Linked DNA regions of Schizosaccharomyces pombe. The gene in region 2 interacts genetically with the main gene of each other region. Each region holds a gene or a part of one and is shown on either strand. Other genes may lie near its edges.

Evidence for each region.
Region 1: mutations in rad21 (region 2) and hsk1 are lethal when combined (synthetic lethality), as found in Schizosaccharomyces pombe (2 studies listed by BioGRID, with this or other methods).
Region 3: of rad21 (region 2) and psm1, a mutation in one rescues a mutant of the other (synthetic rescue), as found in Schizosaccharomyces pombe (3 studies listed by BioGRID, with this or other methods).

Annotation. Positions count from the first base shown.
Region 1 is NC_003423.3:3,196,560-3,202,210, forward strand, and holds hsk1 (Dbf4(Dfp1)-dependent protein kinase Hsk1), read right to left. Parts: upstream 2,643-5,651; 5' UTR 2,417-2,642; coding exon 2,188-2,416; exon of another isoform or gene 2,130-2,187; coding exon 1,284-2,129; exon of another isoform or gene 1,221-1,283; coding exon 772-1,220; 3' UTR 501-771; downstream 1-500. Other genes in the region: rpl2801 (60S ribosomal protein uL15), read left to right, coding at 1-378; condensin complex non-SMC subunit Cnd1, read left to right, coding at 3,579-3,693, 3,764-3,842, 3,934-5,651. UniProt on the Schizosaccharomyces pombe protein: Required for G1/S transition. Plays a role in DNA replication checkpoint signaling through regulating rad3 and cds1. Involved in the maintenance of mitotic chromosome structures during S phase through regulating the function of rad21.
Region 2 is NC_003421.2:1,339,106-1,347,401, reverse strand, and holds rad21 (mitotic cohesin complex non-SMC subunit Rad21), read right to left. Parts: upstream 4,510-8,296; 5' UTR 4,311-4,509; coding exon 4,278-4,310; exon of another isoform or gene 4,198-4,277; coding exon 2,344-4,197; 3' UTR 2,009-2,343; downstream 1-2,008. Other genes in the region: F-box protein Pof3, read left to right, coding at 275-2,008; SPOM_SPCC338.18 (uncharacterized protein), read left to right, coding at 5,780-6,133. UniProt on the Schizosaccharomyces pombe protein: Cleavable component of the cohesin complex, involved in chromosome cohesion during cell cycle. The cohesin complex is required for the cohesion of sister chromatids after DNA replication.
Region 3 is NC_003423.3:2,537,807-2,545,657, forward strand, and holds psm1 (mitotic/meiotic cohesin complex ATPase subunit Psm1/Smc1), read left to right. Parts: upstream 1-2,909; 5' UTR 2,910-2,936; coding exon 2,937-6,602; exon of another isoform or gene 6,603-6,648; coding exon 6,649-6,669; 3' UTR 6,670-7,351; downstream 7,352-7,851. Other genes in the region: spo5 (meiotic RNA-binding protein 1), read left to right, coding at 1-221; histone H3-H4 chaperone, CAF assembly factor (CAF-1) complex subunit A Pcf1, read right to left, coding at 513-2,147; exonuclease I Exo1, read left to right, coding at 7,743-7,851. UniProt on the Schizosaccharomyces pombe protein: Involved in chromosome cohesion during cell cycle and in DNA repair. Central component of cohesin complex. The cohesin complex is required for the cohesion of sister chromatids after DNA replication.

The DNA of each region.
Region 1 (5,651 bases), on a different chromosome or scaffold from region 2:
AAGCACAGGAAGCATCCCGGTGGTCGTGGTAAGGCCGGTGGTTTGCAACACCTCCGTAGTCACTTTGATAAGTATCACCCTGGTTACTTTGGTAAGGTTGGTATGCGTCGATTCCACCTCATGAAGAATCCTTTGTGGCGTCCTACTGTCAATTTGGATCGTCTTTGGACCTTGGTTCCCAACGAAACTCGTGAAAAGTATCTTGGTAAAAACACGGAGGTTGCCCCCGTTATTAATGTCTTACAATCTGGTTACGGTAAGGTTTTGGGTAAGGGTCGTCTGCCTGATACTCCCGTCATCATTCAAACACGTTATGTCTCTCGTCGTGCTGAAGAGAAGATCAAGCAAGCTGGTGGTGTCGTTGAGCTCATTGCCTAAGAACATCCTGTGATTGCTTAGTGGCTTAATAAAATTAATTTTGTTTGATTCGTTTATCCGTCTATACTTTGATGGAATATAATTGTTGTATGATCAATCTGTAGTGTTATTCTCTGGTCAAATAGTGTATAGAGATTTTATTTCAATTAAGTCAGTAAGTGAAAAAGCCTCACCTGCTGATATGTGTTCGTTATGCTATGGTAAAATTAATTATGGATTAATGTTTGTAACTGAAAATGCACCCCAAAAATTCCATAGGGTATTTTCGATGTATAGACATACAATAATGCTTTCACTTTAATACCCAATGATTACAGTAATGCTTATACTGTAAATGAAAATGTATGCACAAATATAAGTGATTGCTTGATGAGAAATTGCCAGCAAATCTTCTCAAGCTCCATCCTGCAAAGCATCATTTGGTAAAATTTCATCAATACTTCGCTTCCGCTTTGATAAAGAAGTAGGTTCATCTGTTTCTTCCTGCTCTTTAAAATCAAGGATATGGGATAAGTGCTTAGCAGTTAAGTCTTCGTCTTTCTCGAAAGAGGTTTCTCCAAAGCTATTATCAAAAGCTGTATCGTCATCTTTCTTTTCGTAAGCTAAATTATCGAGATACAAGAAATCGTGATCCAATGCTTCCTCAGCTGAAATCCTTTTGTTACAGTCAAGTTCAAGACATTTCTCTAAAAAATCCAGGCACAATCGCTCTTCTTGGCTTGGTTTATGACGAAGCTTTTCTTTGTATATACTGGCTGAACCACAACTGGCCCACAAAATAAGTTTCCTAAAGTTTACTCTTTTTTCTGTAAGCGTGCTTACATTTGTCTCAAACGTACAACCTGGCAGGTTAGCGAAAAAAATCAACACAAACACTTCCGTAAGGGACATTAGATCGTTCTTACCGTGTAAAGCAGCACATTGGCGCATTTCGCTTTTTCCAAATATACATGCTATCTCCATGAGTGCATCCACGTCGTCCTTTGAATTAAACATGGGGAAACGTTTAGTAAGGAAAGATAACAAAATAACCCCAGCAGACCAAATATCAACTTTGGGTGATTGAGATGAGCATTTAAACAATACTTCAGGTGCTCGAAATCCTCGAGTTCCGGCTCTATTGGCCCGTTTGCTTGGTCGAGTATCGTTTTTTATGTATCCAAGAGATGTTTCCTGCGCAATCGAAAAATCATGTGCTAATTCGGCCGCATTTGAATTAGTGCACCGGCAAGAATGTGATTGTTGTCTTCCATCATAACGCTCTGCTAATCCAAAGTCAACTAAGACACCATGCTTGGTACGAACATCGAAGAGAAAGTTACTAGGCTTAATGTCTCTATGAATGATTCCCAAAGTCTGAGTTTGCTGCATAGCTTGAAAAAGGCATCGAAAATAAATGCTCATATCGCGATAGGAAAAAGTGCTATAATATTGACGAAAGTCAGTATGCTCGTAGTAGGGTAAAACTACGAGTACCTGATCTTCATTTCTTAAAGCAGTTATTAGCGGGGCTATTACCGACGATCCCCTTAATAAATATAGGATTTCTAATTCATTGTATATTCTAGCAGGACTACTTGTCGCGTAAATTTTTTTTATAGCAACGTACTTCGGTTTCCGGCTGTCTTCATTAACAGGAATTTTTTCTTTTCCAAAAGAAGATTCCTTTAACACTTCACTTTGAATGTCCCAATCATTAATATACCTCCCATAATGTAGGTCTTCCGCTTTATATACACTGGAGAACGTACCTAAACGAATTAGCAAGATAGTTTCAAAACAGTACTAAAAACGGTAATTGAAGTTTACCTTCTCCAATTTTTTCAATTAGCCGATAGTTCTCTTGTAGCTCTACGAACGTCCTTGTGATATTTTCAATTTCTTCGCGGTCTCGTGCAGGGATATCTTGAATCATTTCTTGAGATTTGTTTTCGTTTACATTTTCATCGTCCACCTCAGTGATTTCACATTCAGAATCAATATCTGTTTGTTGTTCATGAGTTACTTTAGGTGATAGTGTGATATGGGCCTCTGCCATGTTAACGGTTTAACTCATATATTTTTAAACCAAATAATAACTTAAAAAAAATTAAAAGAGTCGTCAATTAAATGGTAAAATGCTGCCAAGGGAAGGAACCAAGAAAAAACAAATTTTCACGTATTTTAAACCTTCAAACCGAACACGCGAACGAATACTAAGATTCAAAAAAATCAAGTTTTTAAAATGTGTAACACAAACTCATTCCATGAATATAAGAATTTGCAGATTCCAGGTTCAACACCAGTTGTACATTGTTAAGCAAAATGCTCTTCTAATGAGGGACATTGTTACTTCCAAACAAGAAAAATACATTTTTAATCCAACTTTTGTTTAATAAAAAAAGTACTCTGCTATAATATTTGTATACTTATGGAAAAGATTAAGATTTCATGTCCTTTATCTTTTTTTAAATTTAGGACTTGCTTTAAAAAACATAAATCCTTTGGGCTCTTGTTATTGTTAATAACCACCATAAACAACTAGAATTGACTATTTATTGGACATTGAGAGTAAATATGATTAACCATGGTATTCAAACACGTTTTTTTTTTCTGTTATTTAAAAATAAATAAAAAAATTATCCTGAATTTGAAATTTATTCCTAGTTAAACTACGATAGGTTTTCTGTTTAGTTTATTGTGTATTACTTTAAAATTCTAAAAACAGCACAAATGCTTACCTCGTCAAAATTTGCATTCATAATAATTTTGAAAATCACCTTGAAAATGATACATGCGCCAAAATAAATTATAAGTTTTTATATCAGAAATACAGCTCAAGAAAGAATTTACAACTAACGTTATTCAAAAAATATATTAAATTCTTTTCAAAACATTTAATTAGAAGTACTAAAAAGAACAATAGCTTTTACGTGGCACGCTCAATAAAAGTTAATTAAAATATTATTTTTTAATGTAAACAAATGAGTTAATAAAAGCACGTTCTATATCCTTAAAGTGGTTAGCAACAATTAAGTCTAGCTCCTATTTTATATTTTGACTAACCGTAGCTCTTTTTTGTTAGTAAGAAAGTATAAATGGACCCCCACACAGGACATATAGGTGGGGTTATTGTTTACAAGGACTACTAGAATGTAGTACGCCAAATCCATCTTTTATTTCATTCGTAACATAGAAAGATTCGGCTTTCAGTGGCCTCAATGTCGTTGGATCTTCTTTCTAGATTAAAGAAATACATTCATGATGAAGAAAATTCCGACTTGGACTCGATTTATGCTGAATGTGAAAATGCTGGATTGACAGCCGTGGTTAACGGTATGGACATTTGGGTTTTTAAAAAAATTGAAAATGATCGATTCCACAATAACTAACAATGAAAAATTAGACGTCATTGATACCCTTTTATTAGGAACGAGTTCTTGTTTCGACGAGGATTGCTTGGAAAAACTCTTTGCTATATGTTCGTAAGTAGTTGTTATTTTGTGTTATTCAAATAGAAGGAAGCCATTTGGTTTACTATATATCAATTTTACCAAACTAACAATAATGGTTTAGACACTTTGCTGACCTCTCTTCCTCTGTAAGGAATAAAGTATATGATTTACTCACGAGTAATATCAGCTCTGAATCCGCTATTCTTGAAGATATGATTTCCGCAAATGCTACTGATTTTACTGTACCTCAAACGAATTTAGAAACTACAGGCATTGCATTTCAGCTCACGGTCAATTCCCTTTCTTCCTCAAATCAACTTTCAGTTATTCGGTCATCCACTAATACTGTTAAGGGAAGAAAAAAAAATCCAACTACTAACTCTAACTGGAATGGTATCTCACATGTAAATGCTTTGTTAGATGCAATCATAACATTATTTCAAAAAAAATTATCTCGTGTATGGACTACTTCTTCGGAAAGAGACATGTTTCTTTCACTTTTCCTAAAACCAATATACACGTTAATGGAAAGTGAAATTAACATAAAAAATGCTTCTTTCCGTTCTCGTTTATTTAATATTATCGGGCTTGCTGTTCAATTCCATAACCATACCACTGCAGCGGAGACAAATATTATTCAAAATTTACAATACTTTGAGCATTTATCTGAGTATGCTGCTGATCTTGTTCATATTGTTACCGTTCAGTTTAATTCCGTTACCTTGGCTGAAGGAATTATTCGAACATTGTGCTCTCTAGAATTTAATGATAACGATGTTAAAGGTCCCAAGCAAGTCGCTTTGTTTCTTGTCCGTCTTTCTTCACTTATTCCAAACTTATGTTTGAAACAGCTTACTCAATTAGTTAAGCTGCTTGATTCGGAATCATATACTCTGAGATGCGCTATCATAGAAGTACTTGCTAATGTGGTCATTGATCAAATTCATGATGAGGCTCAAAATGAAATGTCAGAGTCAGTGCCAGCAACTGTTCAAAGCTTAATGGATCTTCTCAGTGAGCGATTACTAGATATAAGCCCTTACTGTCGTACTAAAGTACTTCACGTCTTTATCAAAATATTTGATTTACCAATTAAGTATCCCAGAAAACGTCAAGAAATCGCGGAACTCGTGATCAGATGTTTGCAAGATCGGTCAAGTCATGTCCGCCGAAATGCAATTAAGTTATTTTCTAAACTTTTAACTACCCATCCTTTTTCAGTTATGCACAATGGCTTACTAACCAGAAATATTTGGGAGAAAGGATTATCTATCATCGAGGAACAGCTTAATTCTTTACAACCAAAGCAACAAGAAAAGGTGGTAGATTCAGAGCTTGAAGTCGATGAAAACTTATTAGAGGATGCTACTATGATCCAAGATGATGAGTCACATGAAGGAGAAAGTCACTTGGAAAATTCTCTAAGCGAATATGTCGATTCTGTTCCTGCTGAGGAAATAGTCAAAGTGAATTTAACGAAACGGTTTTATTTAGAAGCACTCCAATATATAGACATTGTGGAAGCGGGAGCAAAAATAATAAGCCAGTTGTTGTTTGCTAAAAATAAGAGCGAGGTAATTGAGTCAATGGATTTCTTTGTTTTTTGCAATTCTTTTGGAATTTCGTCTTCAAAATTATATATAAAAAAAATGATTCATTTAATTTGGGTAAAAGGAACCTCCGACGAAGGGAACAACATTCAGAACCATGTATTGTCATGTTATAAAACATTATTTTTTGAGCCACCTCCGAACTCTGGTACCAACGAAGCCGCAAACTATATTGCGAGAAATCTTATTTCATTAACATATGATGCTAGCCTTGCTGAGCTTACATCAC
Region 2 (8,296 bases):
AGATACTTTTTTTTCCAAACTTTTGGTTACATGCTTATTATTAGTATTTTTGCACATTCAATTTCTGTTTAAATGAAATTTGAAGGCGCTAGCTTTAACTATCCTTTAACAATTCTAACTTACTCCATAAAGCTTGCGACTACGAAAGCATAATATATACCTCAAAAAGGATATCGAGGTTCTTAAAATACGGTTCATTGGAAGCTATATGGGAGGTTTATGTTTATGTATAGAAAAAATAAATCGTTGGGTATAGAAATTAAGATTTGGATTCATGAATAACTATCAAGTAAAAGCAATAAAGGAGAAGACCCAGCAATATCTCTCTAAAAGGAAGTTTGAAGATGCATTGACATTCATTACTAAAACCATCGAACAGGAGCCCAATCCTACGATTGACTTGTTTGAACTAAGGGCTCAAGTTTACGAAAAGTCAGGTCAATACTCACAAGCAGAACTTGATGCTAAACGGATGATTCATTTGAATGCAAGAAATGCTAGAGGTTACCTACGCTTGGGAAAACTTTTACAGCTTGACGGCTTTGATAAGAAAGCAGATCAATTGTATACGCAAGGCCTGCGAATGGTGCATAAAATGGATCCCTTGAGACCGGTATTAAAAAAAGTAAGCCAAAGATTGAATGAAAGAATTCTTCGGACCAGGCCGGTACTAGATTTGTTTCGCATTCTTCCCCGAGAAGTCCTATTATGTATTCTACAGCAACTAAATTTCAAAAGTATTGTTCAGTGTATGCAAGTCTGCAAACACTGGAGAGACTGTATTAAGAAAGAACCTAGCTTATTTTGTTGCTTAGACTTTTCATGCGCCTCTCCTCGAAGTGTAAACTCTAGAGATCGAAACGTTATGGCTGTTGCTCGATACTCTGTTTATTCAAAAGACAATATACAGGAAGTAATTGGCTTAGAGAAGCTTGGTATATTAACACCTACCAAAGCCTTACTTCGTTCAGTCAAATCACTTAAAGTCTACAAAACCATTTCACCTCTCCACACTCAGTCAACGGATAAATTGTATACAATTTGGACGCCATTTTCTGAACTTCACTACTTTTATTGTGCTACTCCTATAACATTTTCCATAGCTTCTAAGATTTTATCTTGCTGTAAGAAACTCAAGCAGGTTGAGCTTGTTGACTTAATTCCCGATTTGATATTTGATTCTATGGATTGGGATAAACTCTTTAATGCAGAATCTGTACCGCTGGCTCTTAAATCTTTGACGTTTATCCGAAATCAAAAGTTTCCCTTTCACCATAAAGAACAGCAATTTCTTAAAGACTTGCTGTCTGCCAGTCCATATTTAGAATATCTGGAAGCCTCATATCAGTCAGACCTAGTTGCTGCAATAAAAAAATATAAAATTAATCTCCGATCGTTAATTATCATTGATGAAGGAGTATCGAATACTGTTAAAGATCTAGCATTCCTTCCTCAATCTCTTACCACGTTAATTGTGAAACCCTGCAATCCTGCATCTACAATTTTATGTCCATATTTATTCCCTACAAATGTCCGGATGGAATCACTAATCAACTTAGAGTTATTTCTTTATCTTCGTTTATCTCAAAATGATATCGATAATGTTGTCAAATTTTTGACTTCTTGTTACAAACTAAAAAAGCTGGTTCTACACGATTCGCTAGCATTGGCCCCCCATTTCTTTGAAATATTTGCATCTTTACCGGAACTTGAGCATCTTGAGATTCCTGATAACGTTGCTCTTCAAAATAAGCATGCAATACACATTACTGATTGTTGTCCAAATCTAAAGTATGTGAACTTTTCAAATTCAATATCCCTCGATGGATCGGGATTTATAGCAGTTTTACGAGGACTGAAAGAATTAAAACGTATAGATATTATTAATTGTGATTCTGTTTCTAGAGATGCAATAGATTGGGCGCGCTCCAAAGGTATGCAAGTTACCGTAGCTTCCTCGCTTCCAAATTCTCAACCATTGGGTACAAAAAAGATACGCCTAATATAATATGATCATATTGTCTTTATATATTCAATCCTAGTAAACCCGTATCATCGCATTGAAAGGAAGATTTTTAAGAGATAGATCAATCATTGAGAATAAATTAAAAAGCGCGTAAGCTATTTCTAATCATAACTTTGTGTTGAGCTGATAATATTACATACATCCAACAGTAATATCGTAACTCGGAAAAAGAAAGACATACAACTCGTGATTCCAAAAATAAAATAAAGATAAAAGAAAGCAATGAACAATATTACTGTCATAAAAATCTATTTCGTGTAAGTATTCACACTTATTTATAGATCTAATTGGATTTTGAAAAAATATTAACCGACCTCTCATAGTGATGAAAGTAGCATTCCACGTTTAGCAGTAAGCGTGATTTCGTTCTGAATGGCAACATCCTGCTTGACAGATATAACATCCTTCGTCGCTAAAACGAGGACATCAAAGAAAAGTTGAACAGCTTCCTCTCTATTGCATCCCGCACTAAGAGTTTGGAAGGATACTTTTTCACCTTCAGTATAAGGATCCCACTTATTGCGTAGAGAATCTTTGGCTGTTTGTGAACTAGGAAGGGCCTCAGATACCGAAGAGTCCAATCGTTCGCTTCCCAGCAAATCGGCCTCGTCCAGCATTACGGGAGGAGCGTCAAAAAGTGAATCATCGGCTGATTCCAAGGCAGTAACAGGAAATCCCATTGGCGAACCAAGCTCAGGAGCTTCTCCTTCTGGTTGAACAACGGTTTCTTGTGGTAAAGTAGCGATAGCGGCTTCAGTAATGTTGGCAAGCTCAGCGGCTGCAATTTCTTCAGGGTCCAAGACTTCAGCAGTTTCTTGGTTTTCAGTTGAGGTATCAGTACGTTGGTGCTTGGCAGGCTCGACTTCCTCTGGGCTCTCATTTTTTCTCTTTCTTAGAATTGCCTGTTTGAAATCAGCTTGCAAAAGCTCGTTTACTTTAGGGTTCAGGTTGGAAGAAAATATGGAAGTATTAAATTTACCGTTTCGAGTAAAATTAACGGTGGCATTAAACACGATGGAAGATGTATTCAAGCATAACGGTGAGGTGATGGAAGATGTATCTGCCAATTGTTTTTTCATTTGCTTGGAGGACAATTCAGTAACGGGATCAATAATTGCACGTTGACGACGTACAGTTTTCTGTGGATTGATCTTTTCCTGTTGAGGAGCAGTGGCGCTTTCAACAACCTGACCTTCCTCTACTCCTGCTGCTGCAGGACGAGATGAATCATCTTCCATAATGTCAGAAGGGAGATGAATACTTGATGTTTCAGCTTGTTCATCAGCCTCTATCGCCGGAGCATTAGCACCTTGTTCATCTCCTAAAAGATCATCTAAGCCCAAATCCAGGTTTAAATCATCAACAGGAGCCAACAATTCATCATCCAATGAAGTTCCTCCTATTGGTAGCATGCTTGGCGTACTAAAATGAGTGACTGAACTAGCCGGCGACTTAGTCATTTGAGGCCCAATAATTCCACTTAAATCGGTGGCAGCAGCAGCAGGAGCATCTCTACCTACTTCTATAGAAATTTGGGACTGATTATCAGAGTGCACACTTCTAGGTGTAGCAGCACCGGAATTTGAAATGGGAAGATGAAACTGCATATCATTGCCAACATGTGCGAATGATTCGCCCAAGGAAAACCCTGATTCTACTTGGGCATTTCGTCCAGCCTCAATTGATAGCTGGGAAGATGGAAAAGAAGGAGAGGAAGATATTGGTAAAGAATGTAGTTCAAGAGTGTTCGAAGAACGAGAGGGTGTACGAAGAAGTTGAGACCATTGAAAATCAAATGTACTATCAGGTACCAAAAGATCAAACTCTGTAATTGTCTCAGGAAGAGTGAGATTAGCGCTCTGTGTCACAGCATCTTTACCTTTTAAAGATTGGAGAGCAGTAGCTGGTTCAATCATATCAACCTGACCCGGTTGAAAGGACATTTTCAAACGCATCAACGCTTCCGTACAATCCTCCAATAAATACCTAGCCTTTCTGGAATAAATGCGAACAACACCCAACATTAGTTGTCCTGATAGGCGAAGGGCCATTGGAGCGGTTTCCTCCGTGACAATTGCATGGACGCTTTGCTCAATACTGGTGTGCAAAGTTTGCACTTTGGAAAGTTTCTTTTCCCAGTGAGCTGCCAACCATACCTTGGCCAAAGGACCCTAACGCGAACAGTTAGTCAGACGATTCAAAGACAAATTAGCACTGTTTACGCGCTAAAGAAAACTTATAAACTACATACCTTTTTTGAAAGAATGGCCTCTGAATAGAACATAAGAAGCTTAATATGATTAGGAGAAAAAGATAGAAAGAAATTAAAGAGTAAAGACAAAAAAAAGAGGGGAATCAAAAAAGAACAAAAATAAACAAAAAATTAATAAATATTAAAATGAAAGAAATGCTTTCTTTCGCAAAATTCGCCTCCTCACTACGATATAAGCTGGGTATTTGTAAAAATGAATATACGTGGTGCTGGTTAAATGAGTACGCGCTGCGCGTAAATAAATCCACGTTGCCATGCCGACAATGAATATGATACATAAACAAACTAGTATGTGTAGCAACAAATAGTTAAATAAATGAATAAAAAAAGCTTGTATTGAAGTTAGAAACTGTTGAGCATGATCAAGGGAATATGCTTCCTCGAAGAAGTTGATTTATCTTTGTTATATGCTTGTATGTTTCGGCCTACTAACTGTATTATAAAATGATGCGCTAGATTTACGTTCACATATGTGCATAGAAGGCAACAAAAGGCATTTGAATTATGTTATTCAATTAAAATAGTCATAAGACATAAGGGGATATGTTTTTCAATAAAACGGAAAACTCCGATTACAACCTTGTTTTAACAATCTTGAGTTAAATTTTGACCATCCTTATTTTGGAAGCATTATCCTTCCATTGAATACATTTATCAAATGAATTCCATTCATTAATTGCATCTTCAATGCCATTTTTTCTGTATGATTAAATAGACTCGTAAAAGGATGTTTTCATCCCATTTTAGTAATGTCAAAACACATTACATTAAACGAATATGTAATAGAAATTACCACGACTGAAAATTTATTTTATTTCTATTATATTATTGTCAAAATTAAAAGGTTGATTGTGACTCGTATGCCAGAAGAAGGTTAATGAATAAAAATACTTATAAAAATAAATAAATTTTTTTTTTTTGGGTAGGGTGTTTTTTTTTAACGATAAACCCCATCCAGATAAATTCGATAAACAAGCTAATTTATTTAAAAAATCAAACAAAAAATAGAAAAAGGAATAGACAAGAATTCCATCCATATTCGTCTAGCAAATTCGATTTTTCCATTTCCCAATAGTGGACACTGCGCAAAACAGTTCCCGTATGTTTTAGTGAAGGGGAATTCGAGTTTGACTGTTGGAAGAAGGCAATTCGCTCATAAATCATTTTAATAAATAAAATGAATGTATAGCATTATTTTCGCCTCTGCAGAAGTTTAATGTCATTGTTCATTGTTGGCAATATCCAATGTGGGGGAAGGCGTAAATAAAATGAATACGTATATGTTTCTAACCTTGATTCTTGACTTTTCCCAACAACGGTTCACTGACTTTAAAAGAGAAAAAGTATAAATTACTAAAGCAATTGTTACATTTAAATAGATTGCTAAGGACTATTGTCTAATAATACAACAGTTACCTTTATTAACGTTTATTTTTCTTTTGGAACACATTGAATATTAAACTAAATTGCCACAAAACAAAATGACTGAACAGAATATCGATATCAAAAGAGAATTGAAGGATGAATCTCCAATTGGGCAATCTCCACATCTAGAAAATGATGGTCGTCCTAGTCTTATGTCGCGCTATAGCTACTCGTCTATTGAAGAGGTATCCAAAGAGGGCTATCAATGGTTTAAACATCAAAGTGTATTTCTTAAATTTAGCCTAATTGTACTTTTATTCTCGTTGATGTTTAGTTTGACGTTTGGTTCGTTGCTTGGATTAATTAGCCTTGCTTTGGGCTTTCCTAGTGTGGGATATCGTTATGTGCTTCTGCCCATATTAAATGCATTATTGAACCGTTTAAGACTTAATTCCTCCGGTTTGAAGTAGTACGAAAAGCTTGATTTCTTTGGGTCTCCCGTTTCTGCTTTTTGTGTCCGAATTCAAAATGAATCATCATAAAAAGACAGTGTTCTTGTTTACCTGAAAGCGATGAGTAACTTACCCTGTTGTATCTTAGTTTACGACGATCCTTGTATAACGACTGGAAAATAAAAAAAAAAAGTCAAAAAACTGTGAATATAATAAAAAGTGATTTTTTACTTGTTTAAATTACAGCCTAACCTGTTGCAACCTTTCAATATTCTTTCCATCTTCAAAACTACTTACCCACCCTTACCTACTTGTTTTAACCGTGTCGCCATTTTTTAACTGCCAAAATTACGGGCGAAACTCCAATACCACATATTCCCTTTTATTAATTTATTTAGCAATTATGATTTAATACAAATTATCTTTAAGATCTTCAAGCTCCTTTTGTTACTAAAGTTACGTTTTGCTTGATAGGCCTAAGTGAGTTTATCTTCATCTGATAAGAAGATAGCACTTTATTCTCCAGAGGATTCTGACTATTTCAAAAAATGCACAATTATTAGCAGTGCCTATTACTCTTTGTTATGCCTTTTATATTGAACGAATTATTGAATAATCATGACTATAAATCTAAAATATACCGTATTTGCTGATTTTAATAGTATACTTTTCCCTAGAGACCCAGCTTTTTTAGTTAAACATTAAGACTATAAACAAAAACAGGCTTTTACTAATAGCTCGACGTACATTATTTGGGTTAAGAATTCTTGATGCAGTTAGATGCAGAGATGGTTTTTTTTAAGCCATAAACGTTCATCTTGTAACCCTTGATTGTTTTTTTGATGGATTCTAATGTGCTTGAGTGCGTTATATGTTTAACCATTTTAACATATGAGTGTAGATGGAGGTTGAGCCAATATGTATAAAAATAGACATTTCTGCTGGACTTGAGTTCGACTCCAAAATTCTTTCAACACGTAACTCACATTGCCGCGATTACCTTGTAACCTACAAAAAATACTCAATGCTACATGGTCCTTCAGTTGGCAAAATGTATTGAGAAACCCTACAGTTCCTTTTCTTAAGCAAGCTGCTTAATTGAGCCTGCTACAGAGAGTCGTACCCATACCATACCCATGTACGCTATATCAGCCCACTACATATTAGTGCAACCAATATCATGGATGAAACAACTATGATTTCGCGGATGTTTTAGCACAGCAATTATCACTTAAAATCTATACCCAGATATCCTTTTGTTTTCCAATAGTCGATGATGATTCCTCACATTCAGCAATTATTGAGACGCTGACAAATGGACTTGAGCGTCTGTCAGCCAGTTTTCCGTGGCTAGCTGGTCAGGTTGTTCACGAAAGTTCAGAAGGAAAAAGCTTTAATATATTCAAGATTAAACCGTATGAGAAAACGCCTCCTTTCTTTGTCAAAGATCTTCAGCATGTCCCTTCTATACCCTCCATGGACGCGCTCAGAAAAGCCGATTTTCCTTTCAGTATGCTGAACGAAAGTATTTTCGCACCTCGCAAAACGATTCCAGGAGATCCTGATGAACAAACGTTAGGCTCAGATCCAGTTTTCCTTGTCCAAGCCAGTTTCATCACTGGTGGTCTCGTGCTTACGTTTGTCGGTCAGCACAATGCAATGGATATGACCGGCCAAGGTTAGGTTATCAACCTCTTTTCTAAAGCTTGTTGCAATGAACCATTTACTAGCGATGGTAACCTTCCCCGTTACAACCTTATCCCTTTACTCGAAGACTCTTACGAACCAGGTTCTGAGATGGATCATTTCATTTTGAAGTCACCTCCTTTTTATTCCGAACTTGAAAGCGTTGATAAATCACATCCTCCTCCTCCTAAATGTATTTGGAGTTACTTTTGCTTCGACCATAACTCACTCACCGCTCTTAAAACACTGGCTACAAAAACTCTCCCCTCGTCGTTTGCCTCAGAATATATATCCACCGACGATTCCCTTACCACATTCGTCTGGTAAGCCATTATTCGCTGCTGCATTTCTCGATTGAACCCTACAGCCACATCCACACTTTGTCGTGCTGTTGATGTACGGCAGTACTGCAATATTTCACCAACGTATCCAGGACTAATGCTTAACATGAAGTCACAGAGATGTGTAATTGAAGAGTTGATGAAGGAGCCTTTG
Region 3 (7,851 bases), on a different chromosome or scaffold from region 2:
CTTTTTCCAAAGTTGAGGAGTTCGCAAATAACTCTATGCCCTCTAAAGTTGGAATGTATGTGCCATTGGAGTCGAACACAGTCTATCAACATTCACCCACTTATGATACTTACGGTTGGCAAAGTATGTATCCCTCTTATTCCGTTTATCCCTCAAACTATGAAAACAGCAGAAGTACTACGCCATATCATGCCCATCCCGCTACTTCTGCTGCTAATTAAATTTAAACATCTTTCCAGCATTTACTTGAACATCAAACTCTAATATCGAAATCTTTTCAAACACTTATCACATACTCAAACTTAAACCAACATAAAACCTGTTAGACAAAGCTTACAATTAAGGGCCAAAGCTTTCTTTCTATGTTTTTTCTTTTATTTATTATCAGGTTATATAACAAAGGTCAAACCACTACAGTATTAATGAATGATATTATACATATTTGCTTAATCGTATAAAAAGAGAGAGGTATAAATAGTCCTTGAGTGTTCAAGATAATTGCACACTGTGAATTAAGAGGATAAAAGGGATGCAAAATTCTCCTTGATTATCCAACCATCAGATACTGATTTTCCTTTACGCACAGCGACTTTTCCAAGAGTTTCGCTGATAATATTTTTGGTTACGTAAGGAAACATGTGCCTCAAATTCTCGATCAGGAATACTTTGTTGTCATGAGAGTTACGGACATATTCTATAAATTTGGGTATATCTTCAGAAGGAAACCTTACTTGTAAATCATCAGAAAGTGAACTGGTAGGTCCAATTGTCATTCCACTAGACGCTGGAGCAGTATCTTGAGAAGCCCATAAATCCTCTTTAGGATCAATTTGGAGATATGTAGATGCTGAAAATGAACTAATGGGTTCAATTAAAGATAAGCAATTAAAGTCAGGAAGAAACTTTGAATCCCAAACCGGACCTTCTACGATTACCTCTAATGGGCCGGAGGAACGATGGGTATTAGAAGCATTGACACTATCCTTGTCATCATCCTCATCATCCACAAAAGCATTATCACCATCCTCTACAATATCATCGGAATTATCTACCTCTTCATCTTCACTTTCTAAATCTTCTCCATCATCTTCCTCATCAGCTACCCATTCTGCTTCTGAATCATATGTGTAGTCTATGTCTTCATCTTCAAGCCAGGGATTCAATAAAACGTTAGAACCATGGGAATGGGTTTTCGTGTAAGATCCAAAATATGGAGGGCGAACATCCTGATAAAAGAAAATGAATTTAATAGGAATCTGTGATAAACAAGATAAAATTTCTTGAGGTTTTGAAACAGATGGATCTTGATATGCGCTCATTAATTGTCGAACCTCGTTTTCGGAATTTCTATTACTAACACCTAAACTGTTTGCGGAGCTTACAGCATCTGATGGTGTAAAAATGTCGTTTAGCTTTAAAGGATAAGATTTAGAGGTTGAGAGGACTTCATCCAAAAAAGAATCAGATTCGTTCGGAGATGGATATTTGGAAAGGGACATCTGATGCTTTATAAAAAAAGGGCGAAACTCTTTCTCAAACTCATTCAGTTCATCCGTTTTGTCAGCTACAAAATTTTCGTTTGGCGCGATTCGTTTCTCAACTCCTTTGGTGAAAAAGTTGTTTAACTTCAATTGTTGTCTTTCCTTATTAAGGATTTGTTCTTGACGAAGGCGCTGTGCTTCTTCTTTCTCACGAAGCTTTTGATCCCTCTCCTCCTTCCGCCTTTGTTGTTCCTGCAATCGAATCCGCTCCTTCTCTAATTTCTCTAATTCTTTCATTTTCTTAGCGGCGATTTTTTCCTGTTCTCTTAGCTTTTTCTCTTGCTCTCGTTGTTGACGTTCCTTTTCACGTTTTAAACGCTCTGCTTCTTTTTGTCGAATCCTTTCCTCTTGGGCCCGCTGTTTTTGAAGCTTCTTTTCTTTACCCGCTTCAGCAGAGCCATTATAAATTCTTTTCTTTCTATTACCCTCATAACTTAATTTGCAAACGTACTCATCAGCTTCACTTGCAGAGTGACTGGAATGAATAACCGATTCATTCGGGGAACTCACTGATAAAGACGTAATGTCAGTGGAAGAGCTACATAACTCATTTCCCTTATTACTAGTAGAGGCCGCGACATCTGAATCAACACTTTCACTATTCATAGACAATGCTGCGAATATCAATAACAAGCCTAAGGGAGGCTAAAAACCGTGCGTAAGTTGTTTTAACGGACGCTCTGATCGAATAAAGAGGATAAAGGAGAGTTCGTAAATTATATGTTAATATTCTATTATATACATCACTATCCCAAATCTGTCTCACCAATCTATTATTCATCCATCTTAACGCTTATATAATTGAATAATTTAATTCCTTAGTTCTAACAAGATATGTACTGATTGATCTGAGTAGCTTAAACATCAAAGTTTTTTGCGAATGGGTTAATATGGTGATTTGTTATATATTTTACCTGACTACGATTATATAATATTACTGCTACATTGCATTACGATATTAATGTTAATATTTTATGGCTCATCTATATTATGATTGAGTTAATATCAGTTGACGAGAATTTTCTTTGAAATTATTTGCCATATTTTTTAACTGGTGATTGGAGTACCACAAATTCATTAATAATGAAACAAACGGATGTTGTTATCATCAATTTTCTTCCTATTTATATGCAGCAAACTTCTTTCAATAACGATGCATCGTACATATATAGGCAGGGGCTATGCAGCTTAGAATAGTAATTCGCTGGAAGGATAATATCATAATAACGAGGTTCTTGTTACAGTGAATATCAAGTTGCACTATATATTATATCGTGGATTTCTGAAACTTTATGAGATGTAATCGTAATGAGTAGGTAACAATATCTAATCAAGTAAAGACGCGTACGCGAGTTTCATACACACCTTGTACATTCCTTTTACCAAGTTTTCCTAATGGGACGTTTACTAAGACTGGAAGTTGAAAACTTTAAGTCTTATCGAGGACATCAAATTATAGGTCCTTTTGAGGACTTTACCTCGATTATCGGTCCTAATGGAGCCGGAAAATCGAATTTAATGGATGCCATTTCTTTTGTTTTAGGGGTCAAGTCTTCTCATTTACGATCAACTAATGTTAAAGAACTGATCTATCGGGGGAAAATACTGCAAAGAGATAATACAGATTTCACTGATTCTAGTAATCCTACTACAGCATATGTGAAACTTATGTATGAGTTGGATAATGGGGAGCAAAGAGAGTATAAACGCGCAATCACTCCTTCTGGTGCTACTGAATACAAAATTGATGAAGAAATAGTTACGTTTTCTGAATACTGCGGATCTCTCCAAAAGGAGAATATTCTTGTTCGAGCTCGAAATTTCTTAGTTTTTCAAGGTGATGTTGAAACCATTGCTTCGCAATCTCCTTTAGAACTTTCAAAGCTTGTTGAACAAATAAGTGGCTCTCTGGAATATAAATCTGAGTACGATAAATCTAAAGACGAGCAGGACAAGGCTGTAAATTTATCTGCTCATTCGTTTAACAAGAAACGTGGTATCAACGCTGAGTTACGCCAATATCAAGAACAGAAAACTGAAGCCGAGCGTTATCAAAGTCAAAAAGAAAAACGAGACTCTGCGCAGTTAGTTTACCTTTTATGGAAACTCTTTCATCTAGAGAAAAGTATTAGTTCTAATATGGCAGAGGTTACTCGATTAAAGGCAGATTCCATTCAACTTATCGAAAGGCGAGATGAGAACACTAAAGAGATAGAAAAGTTGAAAGAAAAAGAGGGCAGTATACGAAGAAACCTTCTTGCATTCGATAGAAAAGTTCGAAAACAAGAAAAGTTGATTGCTTCGAAACGTCCAGAGCTCATTTCAATTGCCGAGAAAGCCCTAGAGTCTAAGTCAAATCTCCGAAAAATTCAAAGAAAAGCTGCGGAAATAGAAAAAGATTATTCTGACCAAGCTAGTACGTTACAAGTATTAGAAAATCAATTGACTTCACTCTCAGCTGCTGAAAAAGAGTTTTTAAAAGACATGCAGGAAAAAGAGCAACTCAAAGGGTTGCGATTGTTACCAGAGGATAAAGAGGAGTATGAAGGACTTCGAAGTGAGGCGGACAAATTAAACTCAAATCTATTGTTCAAATTGCAGACGTTAAATAGGAATATTAAAGTTACTTCTCAATCAAAGGATTCATTAACGAGCATCGTTGGAGACTTAGAGTCGAAGATTAAAAGCCTTCATGAAAGTGTTTCTTCTCTTGATACCGAGCGAGCGGATTTGCTTGCTAAAATAAATGAAAAGATTGAAAGTTTGGAACTTGAAAAGCATGATCAGCAGAAGAAGAGGTTGACTTATTCTGAGCTTTTTCATAAAACACAAGAATTAAATGAAGAGCTTCAATCTTGTTTACAGAAAATTTTAGAGGCAAGTGCCGACCGCAATGAATCCAAACAGGATGCTAAAAAAAGAGAAGCATTGTATGCTTTGAAAAGGATATATCCTGAAGTCAAAGGAAGAATCATTGACTTATGTACTCCTACTCAAAAGAAATATGAAAGCGCAATCGCTGCTGCTTTAGGCAAAAATTTTGACGCAATTGTCGTCGAAACGCAGGCAGTTGCTAAAGAGTGTATTGACTATATAAAAGAGCAACGCATAGGTATTATGACCTTTTTTCCAATGGACACCATAGCAGCCAGTCCCGTTAATCAAAAATTTCGTGGAACACACAAAGGCGCCCGACTTGCAATTGACGTTTTGAATTTTGAGTCTGAATATGAACGTGTAATGATTAGTGCAGTTGGAAATACACTCATTTGTGATTCAATGACTGTTGCTCGAGACCTTTCCTATAACAAACGTCTCAATGCCAAGACAGTTACTTTAGAGGGAACGGTTATACATAAAACAGGGTTGATTACTGGTGGATCTTCAAACAACCGGTCGGCGAAACACTGGGATGACCATGATTTTGATCTGCTTACTCAAACAAAAGATAGACTTATGCATCAAATTGGTGAAATAGAATATCAAAAGTCATCTTGTGTGATTACAGAAAGTGATACTGTCAAGTTGCATAGTCTTGAATCTGAGATATCTCTACTCAAAGACAAATATACAGTAGTTTCTAGATCCGTGGAAGACAAAAAAAAGGAAATTGGACATTACGAATCTTTAATCAAAGAAAAACAGCCTCACTTGTCAGAATTGGAAATGGAACTTCGCAACTTTGTTAAAAGTAGAGATGAGCTTCAAATTCAAGTAGAAAAGGTTGAGGAAAAGATATTCTCCGGGTTTTGCAAACGAATTGGGATAAGTGATATACATACTTACGATGAGATACATCGCACTTTTACTCAAAGTTTTACACAAAAACAACTCGAATTCACCAAGCAAAAATCATTACTTGAAAATCGTATTAGTTTTGAAAAACAACGTGTTTCAGATACCAGGTTACGATTAGAGCGTATGCATAAATTCATTGAAAAAGATCAGGAATCTATTGATAATTACGAGCAAAATCGGGAAGCACTTGAATCAGAAGTTGCAACTGCCGAGGCTGAGCTTGAATTATTAAAGGAGGATTTTGCAAGTGAGAACTCTAAAACTGAAAAAATTTTATTAGCTGCATCCGAGAAAAAGCTAGTGGGCAAACGATTAGTGTCTGAGTTAACAAAGTTATCAGGAAACATTACTCTTTTAGAATCGGAGATTGACCGCTATGTATCTGAATGGCACGCAATTTTACGAAAATGCAAACTAGAAGATATAGATGTTCCGTTACGCGAAGGATCTTTGACGAGCATACCTATAGATGATGTCTCAAACAGCGGTGATATCACCATGGGCGAAGAGCCGTCTGAACCAGTAATAAATTTTGAGAAATTTGGAGTAGAAGTGGATTACGATGAACTGGATGAAGAGTTACGCAATGACGGTTCTGAGAGTATGGCTTCTGTTCTTCAAGAAAAATTGAGAGAGTATTCGGAAGAGCTGGATCAGATGTCTCCTAATTTAAGGGCTATTGAGAGACTTGAAACAGTAGAAACTCGCTTGGCGAAGTTAGATGAAGAATTTGCTGCTGCTCGTAAAGCAGCCAAAAACGCAAAAGAACGCTTCAATGCCGTTAAGCAAAAGAGATTGCAAAAATTTCAAGCTGCCTTTTCGCATATCTCGGAACAAATCGATCCAATATATAAGGAACTTACCAAAAGTCCTGCTTTTCCTCTTGGTGGAACAGCGTATTTGACTTTGGATGACCTCGATGAGCCATATCTTGGAGGAATCAAGTTCCATGCAATGCCACCTATGAAGAGATTTAGAGATATGGATCAACTTTCTGGAGGAGAAAAGACCATGGCTGCTTTGGCTCTGCTATTTGCTATCCACTCTTATCAGCCATCCCCATTTTTTGTATTGGATGAAATTGATGCAGCTTTGGATCAAACCAACGTTACCAAGATTGCCAACTATATTAGACAGCATGCATCCAGCGGTTTTCAATTTGTTGTCATTTCCTTGAAAAATCAGTTGTTCAGTAAATCAGAAGCTTTAGTGGGTATTTATAGAGATCAACAGGAGAATTCTTCACGAACATTATCAATCAACGTAAGGGATTACTTTTTCTTAATTTTAAAATACTAACGAAAAACAGTTGGAAGGTTATGTGGAGTAAATGATAATATTAACCTGTGATATGCTGCTTAATGTCTGTGTTAATATATTCTAAGAATACTTTATGTTTAATAGGGATGGCAAATATATATTTGCGTAATTTATTTATTTCTAACGAATTTAATTTTAATTGTTTTAAGTTTCCTTCTATAATTGATCAAGGACTTTTTTAATTTACAACGCTTTTTCTTTATGTCCTTAATTGATTTTGTCTCTGAATTGACTGGGCTAATGATAGAAACATTAATTATAAGTCACAATTGTCAGCTACGTTTATGTTTAATCCCTAGTTTCAAGGAAGTTGGGTTTAAGTGAGGTTAATGTTTTCAATATAATTCCAGTAACGCAGTTACGCTTAGACGATTCGGCTCACCCCTTGACTGTTTGTTAACTAATGAATTTGGCTGCATACAATTTTGAGAAGTCTCTACTATTCTAGAAGGCTTTCTCCGGAAACTAACTATTGCATTTTCCTTTTTAGTTTAACAGTATTTGCAGTCACAAACTAGCAAGAATACTTTTAAGAATAAACGTTTTATTAGCGACGAATAGTTTAAAATATGTTTAAACCCAACTAGATGCTAACCGCACTACATTTTTAAAACCGCAGCTTATAGAACTTTAAAATATTAATTTTGCGCTTGAGTTTTCCTCATACAGCTAAATTCAATGATTTGGTAATGGTTGATTGATTCACCGTAGTCTTAGTTAACAATCACGATAGATTTCAAACAAAGAACTTTAAAGAAAAAAACTTACTTATAGTATTATCATGATTTTAATGATTTCGATTGAATAGATGTTTAGAAAAGAAGTACACCAGCATACTCAAACAATGATAGCCGGCTCCTTAAATTATTTCACACATAAACAATAACAAAGCCTTTTATATTTATCCTTTCTTAATGATAAAGTAAATTTTATACTTGTTCGTTTTGGGCCTATCGACTGCAAGAATATATTTGTTGATCAGATACACAACACACTTCCAAGGGTACTACGTTAAAACTGTTACAGAACCAACATCTCGATAACGCACCTGCATTCTTTTGGTGCTTGACGAATGCTTTAAACATGGGAATTAAAGGTCTTTTGGGACTTTTGAAGCCTATGCAGAAAAGCTCTCATGTCGAGGAGTTTTCTGGCAAGACTTTGGGAGTTGATGGATATGTTTGGTTGCACA